Linked DNA regions of Arabidopsis thaliana. The protein of the gene in region 3 interacts with the protein of the main gene of each other region in a pairwise test. Each region holds a gene or a part of one and is shown on either strand. Other genes may lie near its edges.

The links. Proteins that work in one complex are often made in the same cells at the same time.
Region 1: the proteins of AT2G36930 (region 3) and AT1G80400 interact in a two-hybrid assay, tested with the Arabidopsis thaliana proteins (one large-scale study listed by BioGRID).
Region 2: the proteins of AT2G36930 (region 3) and AT1G17970 interact in a two-hybrid assay, tested with the Arabidopsis thaliana proteins (one large-scale study listed by BioGRID).

Annotation. Positions count from the first base shown.
Region 1 is NC_003070.9:30,223,536-30,228,090, forward strand, and holds AT1G80400 (RING/U-box superfamily protein), read left to right. Parts: upstream 1-1,640; 5' UTR 1,641-1,802; intron 1,803-2,182; 5' UTR 2,183-2,328; coding exon 2,329-2,981; intron 2,982-3,052; coding exon 3,053-3,178; intron 3,179-3,254; coding exon 3,255-3,534; intron 3,535-3,660; coding exon 3,661-3,825; 3' UTR 3,826-4,040; downstream 4,041-4,555. Other genes in the region: EMB2753 (tetratricopeptide repeat (TPR)-containing protein), read right to left, coding at 4,244-4,297, 4,440-4,555.
Region 2 is NC_003070.9:6,183,092-6,187,988, reverse strand, and holds AT1G17970 (RING/U-box superfamily protein), read right to left. Parts: upstream 3,273-4,897; 5' UTR 2,958-3,272; coding exon 2,385-2,957; intron 1,819-2,384; coding exon 1,654-1,818; coding exon of another isoform or gene 1,582-1,653; exon of another isoform or gene 1,330-1,581; coding exon 1,231-1,329; intron 1,146-1,230; coding exon 1,011-1,145; intron 922-1,010; coding exon 787-921; 3' UTR 516-786; downstream 1-515. Other genes in the region: PAPS1 (poly(A) polymerase 1), read left to right, coding at 42-109, 208-247; AT1G17960 (Threonyl-tRNA synthetase), read left to right, coding at 4,252-4,382, 4,494-4,794.
Region 3 is NC_003071.7:15,509,347-15,513,283, forward strand, and holds AT2G36930 (zinc finger (C2H2 type) family protein), read right to left. Parts: upstream 2,262-3,937; 5' UTR 2,099-2,261; intron 2,018-2,098; 5' UTR 2,002-2,017; coding exon 1,811-2,001; intron 1,684-1,810; coding exon 1,621-1,683; intron 1,374-1,620; coding exon 1,197-1,373; intron 1,085-1,196; coding exon 1,022-1,084; intron 759-1,021; coding exon 656-758; 3' UTR 552-655; downstream 1-551. Other genes in the region: AT2G36920 (B3 domain protein), read left to right, coding at 1-142.

The sequences.
Region 1 (4,555 bases), on a different chromosome or scaffold from region 3:
CACCATTATATATGTACATCAACTTTCACTGTCGTCGGTCGAAAACAAATCATGGTCTAACAATATATTCCTAATTATCTATCATCGTACACTACACACTAATTAGGTACAATACTTCTTCATTAGTTTAATCTTTCACCGAATATCAGAAGAAATCCCAACTAATATGCGTGTGGATCTTGTAAACAATGAAAAGAATGTTCCCACCAAAAAAACAATGTGAACAGAACTAAATGTTGAAACTTCTACTTCAAAATTGAAATAAAATCTAAAATAAAATATATAATGAACATCAATCATTGTATAAAAGCGATTAAAAGTTTCATGATTTGGGATAAAAAAAGTTAGAGATAGATAACTATCCCTTTTTTAGTGAACAAGTATAAAGTTTTTACTGAAAAGTTTTTCAGTGTCCGGTATTAATTTCATATTAGTCATATTATTTACATGCAATATGAAATGAGATGTCAAAAAAGTTTAGACAAAGGAAAAGAGCAGAACATTAATTACAGCAGCGTAGGGTCACATGCGTAAGTCACGTGACTCTGTTTTTCGTTGGGGAACATAGAATCATAAATGATTTTTTCGATGGTTCACGACACTATTCTTAGACCAATAAGGGCAATAAGAGTTAAACCAGGGGCTAATAGGTCCTACTGGCGACACATAGACGAATTTACCGGTTTCGATTACAAACCCGTGACCGGTAATTCCGGTCAGCCATTGTTTTCTAAGTTTGTTTTCTTTCGTTATAATGCGCATGGAATGAAACAGTCGTATAATTCATTTAACTCGACTCGTAACAAAATATGTGAGATAATAATAAGAAGTACATAAATTTGGTAGCTAGTATTTAATGTTAATTGATACTTTTTGTCTCAAATAATCGAAACTGCTTTTAGGCTCTAGAAAACTGATATTGATGTCTTGGACATTTACTTGGGTATAATAAATTGCGATAACATAATAGAGCGGTCCGAGACTTAGAGAATTACGAAACCAGTAAATTCTATACAGATTGTTTATCCAATTAAGCCCAAACCAATCCAGGTTTCCTACAGTGGGTCAAGAATACATCATGGCAGATTTGATACATCATAATGCCATTATGGTATCAAGCCCAAAATAAGCCCAGTTATTTTTTCTTTCTTTTGTTGTCATTCCATAAAAATCTACATAACGGAATCCAGAATTTGATTAAGATCTTATTCCGTTATGTTCCAGATAATTAGAGTGTCATATCTCTATAATGAACTTCATATTAAATTTCTTTGTCTTAACATGCATTAGAAAAAAGGGTTTAAAACTCTATTAAGAACTAAATATATCAATAACATTTACAGTATAATTTTAAAATTTAGAATGACAAAAGAAACATTATAGAATTTTAAGAAATGATTTGGGAATAGACAAATCAATAAACCTCAGACTATTATGAGATTTGTTTTTGTCTGGAAGGAAATTGCTTAATCAGGTAATAAACTCAACAAAGCACCTTCTAAACAAGGAGTCATCCACGACCGTCCGATCAGATTAGTACATAGAAACCCTTAAGATCCAACGGTTAAAGATTTAAGACAGAAGGACGAAATCTGTAATCATGAGTTTAGTAAAAAACTAATAAATCAATCAGTCTTCTCCCTATTTACTGCAACTCTGCGAAAGCTGCAAAAATAAAATCAGCCGATTCCTATTTTTTTATTTGTCTTCCTGTGAAGAATGAAAAAGAAGAAGAGTACAACAAGTACTAAGAAGACGAAGAAGGTTTCAACAATAGCTTATTCGCAGCTTTTCCAATTCTGGTAAAAAGGCTTCATTACCATTTTATCGTCTACTCTTCTTCTTCTTCCTGTTTTCGATCTTCTGTCTTTTTCGGTAATTTCCGAATTTGTGTTTCAAGACCGTATCATCTTATGCTACGATTGAATTTGTTGGAATTCCAGTTTTGGGTTCTTCACCAAGCTCAGAATTTCAAACTGTCAGAATTGTTTGAAAGAGTCAAACTTGAACTGGGATTTTTTTTGACTTAGGGTTCGTCAGATGTTGGATTTGTTAATCCTTGCAGAGTCGTTTAAGGGGTTTACAAAATGCTTTATTTATAATCCTAAAAGCTATCTACTTTCTGATTTTTTTCCCCCAGTTCTTGGTTTGAATTCTAAAGCTGTTTCCTGTGCTATAACAGGTGAGTGTTTCGCACTACATTGCTCTTGCTCTACTGGAGATTGCGGTTGTGTGTTACGAGAGCTAGAGTTGAATTTGCTTTGGTCAACACAATGGGGACTTGTGGTTGCTGACTTTTGTGATTTTCAGTTTTCTACTTGGATTTAGATGGATGTTTCTTCCATTGTGCGAAATACAACCCTAACTGATCAAGATCCTTTGTTAATGGACCACGGTAACCGCGAGCACATCGTTGACATTACAAGCAATGACGAGGAGGACTCTTCATCAAGATCTTCTCTCGATGAGCTTACTCCTCAAGGTAACTCACATCAAGGTGAAGAGACAGTATTATCATCATCAAATGCTACACAACAACACCCAACTCATCCATCTCCTCCTCAGCAAAGACCAACTTCTTCTAGGAGAGGAGATAACGGGAATGGTCGCCGTACTAGGAGTCCATTGAATTCTGGCCTCTGGATCTCAGTTGAGTTAGTTGTCACTGTCGCTCAGATTGTTGCAGCCATTGTAGTTATGGTTCTGGCTAAAGATGAACATCCTGAAGCGCCATTATTTACTTGGGTTATTGGATATACTTGTGGCTGTCTAGCCACTCTCCCTATTCTCTATTGGCGTTTTCGCACTTATAATCGAGCTACAGGGCAAGACTCTTCACAACGTGCTACCTCTTCTCAAGGCAATAGTGAGTCCACACCATATACAGCAGTCTCAGTTGCTCAAGCAGCAGATGAAGAAAATAGCACTGGCGTGAGTGCAGCACCTAGAAACAATCAAGTTGGGGAAAGCTTAAGAACAAGGTAAGTCTAATTACTTTGTTTGGCCTCAATTAATTTGGGTTGGTTAGTTAACAATTGTTAATGACTGGCAGGCTCAACGGGCTAGTGGACCACTTCAAGATGGCGATTGATTGTTTCTTTGCGGTGTGGTTTGTTGTGGGGAATGTATGGATATTTGGAGGTCACTCATCTCCTTCTGATTCTCCTAAACTGTACAGGTACACGCCTTCGACTTCATCCGCTATTATGTCCCAATGAGGAACTGAAATTCTAACACTCATGTTTTTCTTGCAGGTTATGCATAGCGTTCCTTACTTTCAGTTGCATTGGATATGCAATGCCATTCATACTATGTGCAACCATATGTTGTTGTTTGCCTTGCTTAATCTCGGTTCTCGGATTTCGAGAGAACTTCTCACAAACTAGAGGAGCCACTGCCGAGGCCATCAACGCATTGCCTGTCTACAGGTTCAAATCAAAAAGTAGAAATGATTTGGAGTTTTCAGAAGAAGGTGAAGGTGGATTTCTTCTCTTGGGGTCTCAGAAGAAACGTCTTATATCAGGCGAGGATGCCGTAAGTCAATACCCTTAGTTCCGCCATGAATTCATTTGAATTAGTTGGTTAATACAATTGTGTACAGAAGTTCAGTGCAACTGTTAACTATTGTCTGCATTTCTTGGATAAATATTGGTTTTGCAGAGCTGTTGCATCTGCTTGACTAGATATGGAGACGACGAACAAGTTAGAGAGCTGCCATGCTCACATGTCTTCCATGTAGACTGTGTAGACAAATGGCTTAAAATCAATGCGACTTGCCCTCTCTGCAAAAATGAGGTTGGAGAAAGCAGCAGTGCTTCCTCATAGACAAAAGCTGAGTTGATCGCAACTGTTTGGAATTTGGGATCCATAGTCTGTGACGTGTATAGACTTAAGACTTGTATAGTTGAGATGTTGTTTATTCATTTTGTCTTTCCAAATCAATAAATTTCGAAATAAAGTTGTTATGTATATGAGAGAACTATATAAGAAAAAGATGTAACGTCTCACTCAAAGGTAGGCTCGTCAAATCAAAATTTTCCAGAGATGTCAAGAAGCTTAAACATTGTAATGGAGAAAATAAATAATGTGGAGAAACCGAAAAAAGAAGGAGATAAAAGGGTACAACATCAGAGAAATCCTCTTTAAAGTGTGGAGAGAACAAAACGAAAAAAAACAAGAAAAAAAAAAAGACAAGACCCCTCTCTTTTTTTGTGGCATTGTTCTTCAAACTTGAAACCCAGCCTTATATAGAAAAACAATTATACACATTTGGCATGTTACAACTCCAAAACATTTTCTGATCCACACACCTCGGGGAAAGATTCATTAAATCTCAAGTTTGATCCGGGTCTGTAGGAACAGATCTTCCATCTTCTGTAAATTATCTCCTGGGTTGATTTGCTTCTTATTGATAGCTAAGAGGGTTTTCAGGTTGCAACTGAGAGGCTCTTGAATGCTTCGAGTTGTCCGTCGCTCAATTCAGTCTGACCCATTGGATGGTTTGGCGTGTCACCGTTCTCATTGCTCTTGCGGGATGAGTTGTACACTGAATCAG
Region 2 (4,897 bases), on a different chromosome or scaffold from region 3:
TTGATCTTATTCCTCCTGTCTGATTTCTCTTTTGTTGAAAGGTTCTTCCCACGCGACAGCCCGATGCGGCACATAGACCTTCAGTACAACAGCGAAAACCGATAATCAAGTAAGTGATTTTGTGTCTATGTTTACTCTTAACGTTTGAATATACATTTTTGGATTTTGACAAAGATTGTTTGTTTTTGTTTGTCTGATTATTCGCAGATTGAGCTTCACGTCTCTAGGCAAAACCAATGGCAAGTAATAATGGCTTTTCCCTACATTGCCAAGAATCTCAGAGCACTTACGGAAATTCGAGATGTTAAGTTGAGGGGTTCTTGTTACTTTATGTCTTATATTTATATGCTTTTCTTAGATGTTGCATGATCTCATGTAAAACTCGTTTGGATAAGATTAATGTAATGTGTTCTTGTCTATGGATCCCAAACACTTTTTCTGTCATAAATAAAAGTCTGGGTTGAGTTTACTTCACATATATATATAAATGCAGACTCAAACGTTAAAACATTGATTCTTAGTTACGTGCGTGTATGCTATATGCTAAATTACTCTCTACCTGTCTTAAATCTACCTAGGCAACAGAAAACATAGATTTCAAACTCTTGATTTCAATCACATAAATAGACCCAACAAAGAATATAAGATCTTAAAAAAAAAAAATTGTGATTGCTAAATGCAAAAACAACAAATATGAATCAAGTATCAGATGATACAGATCTCTATACAGCAAGGTGGCTTGAAAGATCTTGAGCTATCAGAAACCCGACGAGATACAAAAGTCTTTTAAGGCTTGCCATATGCTGCCTTCTTACAGACCGGACAAGCATTCTTCCTCGAAAGCCATTGTTTCACGCAATGGACATGAAAGCTGTGTCCACAGTTCAATTCCCCAACCTCATCCTCTCTCTCATACTCATCCTGTCACCATCAAACAATAAGGAATAGCATTATGAAACTCATGATCTGTCTGAAGTTTCGAGAAGCCATTGACTCAATCTGGAGTTTACCTGACAGATGCTACATTTTCTATCAACAAGAGTATGTGATACGGATGGTTTGATTTTCCCAAGACAACGATGTATCTCGCTTTCTTTTAGTCCAGTATTCACATAACCAATTCTATCACCAAGCTCAAGAAGTTGCTGCGTAGACCAAAGCAAACACACTCGATAAAGTTGAGAAGATGAGATTGCAAGTGTTTTTCTCATGAGATTTTGAAAAACATACCTCGTATGACATGCTATCAACATCGAGCCTCAATTCGTGGTAGTTATCACGGGAATCTGTTATTCTTCCCATTACAAAACCATTCTGGAGCATCCTCATCTGCAGTGAACAGCAGGAACATGACTACACTAGCTGCATGGTTTAGTTCTTTAACTTGCTCACTTGCTATTAGCCATCCAAAACAGTTTTACAGCACCATACAGCACCAAAGAGAACGATTACATTATTTGTCTTCCACTCTATCAGTCACTAGAATATGTAAGAGACAACTCTAGAATAATCTCTTAGTTGATATGAAGCCAAGTGACAAGTCAAACCTTAACATAGTGTTGAGTGTGATCAGTTAATAAACTAAGAAGTCAAATCTATAACATTTACCAGATGCAAGAAAGACAAGGCAACTATTTGGCAAGAACATTCTACCTCGGTAAGATCATCAGGGTAAGAGCGTGGAAGATGGCCACGACATCTACTTGACAACATCGTTGGTTCAGCGCGTGATGATGTCACAAAAGTAGAATCAGAGTTGAAGATATCATGAGAATGAGTTTCTTGATTGAGAAACCGAATGGGAAGAACAGAAGAACCCTGCAGAACATTTGTAGCATTGTGTTATCATTTCTCAAACACTTAGACATGATGATAGATTCCTAATTTTCAAGTCCTCTGAAGCAATGCGTTTCTTTGATCAAAATAAATCCAACAACTCCCCTAACCAATTGAATCCAACCAAAAAGAAACTTAAACAATGCTAAGATTCCATCCTCTAGCTAAACGAGACAAAAGCATGATAAGATTCCATTCTCTAACCAAACCAGAGTTCGATTAGTTTATTGAGCATCAAACCCAAAAGAACCACCCGCACGTCAAACAAAGAAATTTTCTATATTATCCTCACATGAAACAAAAACTAATAATAGAGAACCGCTACATCTAAAGTAGACCCTTATGATTTGTCTAAACGAGAATCCAAACACATATATTAATAAACCAAACCAAACTAACAATGGCCCAGCAATTGGCATAGAGCTAACTACAACCACTAGAGCTCCAACCACTCCACACAGTTTCTGCCTAAACGATACCATTTCCTCAAAGTCAAAGTCAATAACATAATAACACTAAATTCATCATCCAACTTTAGATCAATTTACCAGTGTGTGATTATAATTGTTGTTATCCACATCAATTTTGCGACGAGACGACGGAATATTCCTTCCCCGAGGAGGATCAACCGATCGACCAATTACAGCATCCGTGGAGAAGCCTAATCCAGGTCTGCACCAAACATCAATAACGTCTCTAGCTTCTTCGCTTAAAATCCTAATCGAACCATCTTCGTAGCTTCCTTTATTCTTCTTTTTCTTTTTCTTATGCTTATGCTTCTTCTTCTTCTTATCTTTTCTAATTCTGGCATCCAAATCCGCGGAGTAGCGAATGACGGAGGGAACAGAAACCTCTTGAGCTGCTGCTGCTGCTGCGGCATAGCAACCCATCCCTCGAAACGACGACGTTTGGTACGGTTTCTTCCTCGTGCTTTCGTTGGAGGAGGAAGTCGGGAGGGGAAAGAAGGAAGACATTGCGGAGTTACAGAAGCGATTAGGTTGTGAAATCGGAAGAACGACGTGGCTTAGCGGCGGATCATCGTCGGCGGCGTGGAGATGACGGATTGTTTGGTTTCTAGCTCGTCGGAGTCTGATGTGCTCGCCGATTGTTGTAGAAGACATTCTCAAAGAAAGAAAGTAAAGGAGATAATGGAAATGTGGGAGAGAGAGAGCGAGACACAGTGCGCGGGGAAGGATGAAAGAGAGTGATTTCAAGCTTGATGATGATGATGATACAGTTTTTGTATAATGATTATAGCTTTTCCTATATAATACTATTAAAGATTTTTTAGTTTTTGTTTTTACATGCAACCATTAGTATGAGATTCCAAACAAAATCAGCTCATGCATATCTTTTGTGAATACTACCAAATTAGAAATAATGATTTTATAAGAGATATTGTTTAGGTTAATTTGAGTATTTCTCTGGGTTTTTAACTTTTTTTGGGCAATTTAGTTTAATGATTTTGCTTATTTTTGGTTTTTCTATTCCAGAAAAGTAAATTTTAAAATTTTTAAAATGATGCTTGCTTGTAAAAATAGGAAAGGTGTCAGTCACTACATGACTCTTTTAAGTCGAAACAATCTTGTTAAATAAATAAAAAGAGAGAGAGTGATTAGATATTATTTTGGTAGAGATAAAGAAGAGACACAAAGTCCAGCTGAAACATCCTACGATAAGCTTAAACATCAAAAGACCACTTCTTTGGTTGGTTTTAATATTTGAACAATCCTCGTATACATAAAGTTGGCACTCTTGAGCTTTGAAGACATCCAGCAAAGCCTTGATGGTTGATGCTCATCGCCACGAAGCCTGAACCGTTTTCCTTTCCAATATTACATTATTGTCTACCAGACCCGGTTCAACCAAATCGAACCCGACTACATTTTTGTAACACGAAACCATCCGAGAACGTTGCAAAACTGATTCTAGCTTCATCATTAATAGGCTTTTAAGAGCCCAAAACTACAAATAATAAGCCCACTTCAAACTGATTTTATAGCTTCCACATTAATAGGCCTAATAATGGTCATTTGGATATTATTGAGAATGCAACAAATATAAATGTGAAACATTAAATCAAAGAAAGTCACGCCAAAATAGGTTATATACATATACTTTTAATTTGCATTTTATCAACAAAACTACAATTCAATTGAAAAGAAATTATAAATATTGTAGAAAATTATTTAAATACAAAAGGAAATTATGTAAAGTTAGGTGCATCTGCCACTTGTTGTTATTACCTTATTACAAAAAATGAAAGGAAAAGCTCTAAAGCTTGGCCCGCAAGTCACTTTAGTGTTGTAGCTATAAAAGGGAAGTTGACCTTGGGATAATCTACTCCTCTGCTCTCAACGTCATCTTCTATATTCTATAGTTTCTATTTGTCCTTCGTTCTCTGCTCATCCATCGATGGCGAATAATCATCATCCCAAGGATGAGGCTTATCTCTCATCCGTCATCCCCAAGCGTATCAGGCTCTTCGAGGAAATCCAAGCCGAGCAGCTTGAGCAGCTTCAATCTCGGCCACACGATCCAATCAAGTAAATACGTTTATGATTAATTGTTCATCATTTTCACTAGGGTGCATCAATTTGTTTGCTAAGCTAGGGTTTTGCAATTAGTTGATTTCTGGTTTTTGTTTCACTGCTTAGGATTACTCTTCTCCCCGACGGTATCGAGAAAGAAGGAAGGAGATGGGAGACCTCTCCAATGGACATCGCAGTGCAGATTTCTAAGGGTTTAGCAAAATCTGCTCTGGTTTCTTCGGTTAATCATGTCTTGTGGGACATGAATAGGCCCCTGGAAGGTGATTGTTCCTTAGAGATTTTCGGATTTGACAGCGACCAAGGCCGTAATACTTTCTGGCATTCTAGCGCCCACATTCTAGGCCAGGCTCTCGAGCAGGAGTATGGATGCAAGCTATGTATTGGACCCTGCGAACCCAGAGATGAAGTAAGAGCTTTGTTCTGTGTTTTTTCCCCTTAATTATGTTTCTTTGGCTAAAAGAGTAAAAAAAGGAGGAGTCAATATTGTTTGGTTCTTGGTATTTCATCTG
Region 3 (3,937 bases):
TCAATGGACCATCAAGAAGAGACTGACCGAGCATAATGTTAACCCTACTTATGGCCAACTTCGTCTGCCCAGAAGCTTCTTCGAACAGCAGATTCGAGGACATCTGCCTGAAGCTGATTTGCAAAAGCGGACTCATTGTTAAGGTATAGGACAACGACACGAGCACAATGCATGAGCTGCGTCTGGCAGTACAATATACCTATGTTCTAACGGGTGACTGGCTGGAAGATTTTATCCAAAAGGAGAAGTTTGAAAGAAAGAGACGATATAGGACTCTTATGGGATTCTTCTGCTTCTAGGCTTCACTTTGGCGTGATTGCTCGTGGAAAGGCAATAGTTCCCCGGAAGAGAACAAGGTCTGCATAATGTGATCTCAATTACAAACGCATATCAGCAGCTGAGAGAGCTAGTGTTTTGTTCTTTCTATTTTGTCAAAACAACGATTGGTATGGCTTATATGGTTAAGTTTTTTATGCAACCAACACAAACAATATATGATTTATCAGATTTAAACTTCTAAGTGAAGCTAAACCAGTAACTGCATGATAGATACTTGGCAACAGACAAAAAACCTGTATCATTAATTTAGGAGATTATAGTTTTACAACAAAATTTCGGGTTCCATTAACTAAATAAGGAAAATAACTGTAAAAACTCAGGCAGACATCAGCTTTGGACCATTGTCTGGCATTCCCATTCCACCAGCTAAATCTGCATCGAGTTGCGAGTGTGGCGCTGGTCGCTCTATCTTCTTCACACTGCAATCACACAAAAATCCAAATGGACAATAGAAAGATATTAAGTCTGAGTACAGAGCAACAGACATGCATAGATCAATAATATAATCATACAGAGGTAATCAAGTTACAAGTGCTAAAACATTTTTAGCTACGCCAGTGACGAGAAATAGCTTTAACATTGCCAGCAAGATGAATTCAAAGTAGACGAGCACAAGAACCAAACACAGTTCCAAGATCAAAACAAGATAGAAACCAAGACCAAGGAAGAAGAATCCACATACCGCTTTTTGTGTTTCTTAGTCTTGAAATGATAATCCATCACTGATGCATTGGAGAAGTTCCGACTGAAAAATATCAAGGTAGAGAGACAAGGTCAATCAAATACAAACAAATGTTCACACAAACATGGAAATCTAGAGTAATTCAAAGATTGTCTTTTTGCACATATAATCTTACTGGCAGAGTAAGCAGTTGAATTGACCCATTCCAGGTAAATCCTCCGTCTCTGGTTTACGCAACTCTGTGAATACCAAATTAGACATCAGCTTTGGGCCATTGTCCGGCATCCCCATTCCCCCGGCTAAATCTGCATCGAGTTGCGAGTGTGGCGCTTGTCCCATCATCATATTCACACTGCAATCCAAGTGGACAAAACACATATAATAAGTCTTGAGTACAGAGCAACACTGCAACAGACATGTATAATCATACAAAGGTAATCAAATTACAAATGCTAAAACATCTTTAGGTACACAGAAGTGAAGAGAAATAGCTTTAACATTGCAAGCAAGAAAGTAAACGAGCACAAGAACCAAACACAGTTCCAAGAACACAAAACAAAATAGAAACCAAGGCCAAGGAAGGAGAAGAATCCACATACCGCTTCTTGTGTTTCTTAGTCTTGAAATGATCATCCCTCACTGATACGTTGGAGAAGTATCGACTAAAACATATCAAGGTAAAACAAACAAATGGGTCATATAGAGTAATTCAAAGATAATGTATTTGCTAAAAAAAAGTTTCATAAACCAAAAGAATCGTCAATAGAGTAATCATAGAATCTCTCTTACTCGCAGTGTAAGCAGTAGAATTGACCCATTCCAGGCAAATCCTCGTCAAGCTGTAACGGCTTAATCTCCGTCTCCGGTTTACGCAACTCTGTGTAAACCAAGTCATCGCCTTTGACTTCGAATTTGTCACGGCGAGCTGTTTTGTGAGATAATCTCCTCTTCTTCACTTTTCTAGTCGGACATCTACCCATTTTAGCTTCCTAAGTACTGAGATCGAATCATCAATTGAAAAATTAGTGACTAATTGATAAGAATCTAAACGAATTTGCAGATTAATTCAAAACTTACGATTCAGAGAAGAAACTGTGTAGGAGGAGCTGAAGACGACGAATGCGGAAGAGGAAACCCTAGAAAAAATATCAGTTTCGGTTATAAAGTATTGATTAACCTAAAAAGGGCGGTTTCAGTGATGGAGACTTTGACGCAAGGCCCATTTATTAAACAGGCTTAGATAGGCCCATTAATAATTAATGATTTGGAAATCAGTAATACATACGGAACCAATTAAGATCTAGTCTGAAATTATTCTGAAATAGCATTGTAAGATAAGTCACAGAGTTCTAGCAATGTACTTGGACCGAATTAGTGACAGAAGCGTAGGTTTACTGATAAATCTCATAACCTTGTTTTTAGGGTTCCATTAATTTATTAGTATAACAAGAAACCAATAAATTCTTAGAAGTGGAGAGAGCAAGGGAATGAAAGGCCTCTTTGCGTTGCATACTCTTAATGCTCCCCACAATGATGGTTTTGTTGTCTTGGGGAGGGTTTGAAGCTTGTTTCTTCTCTCTATAATTTTTTTTGTCACCAATACGTCATGTCTCCACCACACTTACTATCCCGAGTTTGAAATGCTTTCCAATTAATGTTTTAATAGAACCGATCCTACTTATGTTATGTGGATTTACATCTAGAGCAAGGACAATGTGTCATTCTCATTCCTCCAGCTAGATAATACGTGGTTAGCAAGATTTGTTTGAAATGTGGGACGTTCCTTTTTTCTTTCCAGATACTTCTACACCATATTGGTTCGTCAATGGGGTCTAATTGTTCTAATAAACTAAGGTGCTCCTGCCGAGGAATACAATAATTGTAACAATGATAGTGAAACAGACCGGTACCAAATCCAAACTTTTCATATTATTTATTAGTGTAATAATGTTGCATGGAGATCCATTTAGATGTTTAAAATTGAGTTCTTGATGAGTTGGTTCTACTTTGTCTCTGCCCCCACTAAACTTGATTTCAAAACGTTTCTATAGCCCATCTTTTTCATGTTGTCTTAATTATCAGATAGATTTTACTCTTTAGACTCCTAAGACCAAGTTACTGTATATCATTTTGATTATCTTATTTTCTTTCACTTTCTAACTGTAGTTTACTTTTAGGTTCCATTCCGTAAACATTGCTATCGTTTTGTGATGAACACAAATTTCTTTTAATTTGTTCTTTCCTCATTATTTCCTAGCAAAATGAATGGAAATTATATTTCATAAAATGAATCTTTAATAGTTTAATCCATGTTACAGCCATTTTCACCTTTACATGAGAGACAAATATGTACGGCGAACTTTCTAGCAACAAAAAACTGACATGCATGAAGATGGTTTTTTTTTTTTTTTTTTTTTGCCAGTCGCATGAAGATGGTTTATAACCATATTGAATGGTCATTTTTGTAAGCTACAACGAGAGGCGAGCAATGAGACTTGCCAAAAAAATATGAGGAAAAATGGTGACTTGCATGTGTACTTAAAATGGCACCATATGGATGGATGAAACTACTTAAAGGGTTGAAACGAGACGATTTTCTGTTGCCATATTTTTCTTGATTTTGTGTGGCTGTGTATACCATAATCTCTAATTGCAACCTGAAATTAAAATGGTCTATTTATGTTGCAATTAGTGATTATGTTTTATATTAACCTTGGTAAAGTTAGTTAAAATTATCCAAGTCAGCCTGACGTGTTACACTGTGGAACACGAAAACAAATCTTTGTAGTTTGTATGTGTTGAAATCGTATTTAGCTACATATAATAAGTGACCATTTCTACCCTAAACTTCCAAATTACTGAACAAAACGTTTCAAAAGATCCAAACATCGATTTTCAAAATACAAACACAAACTT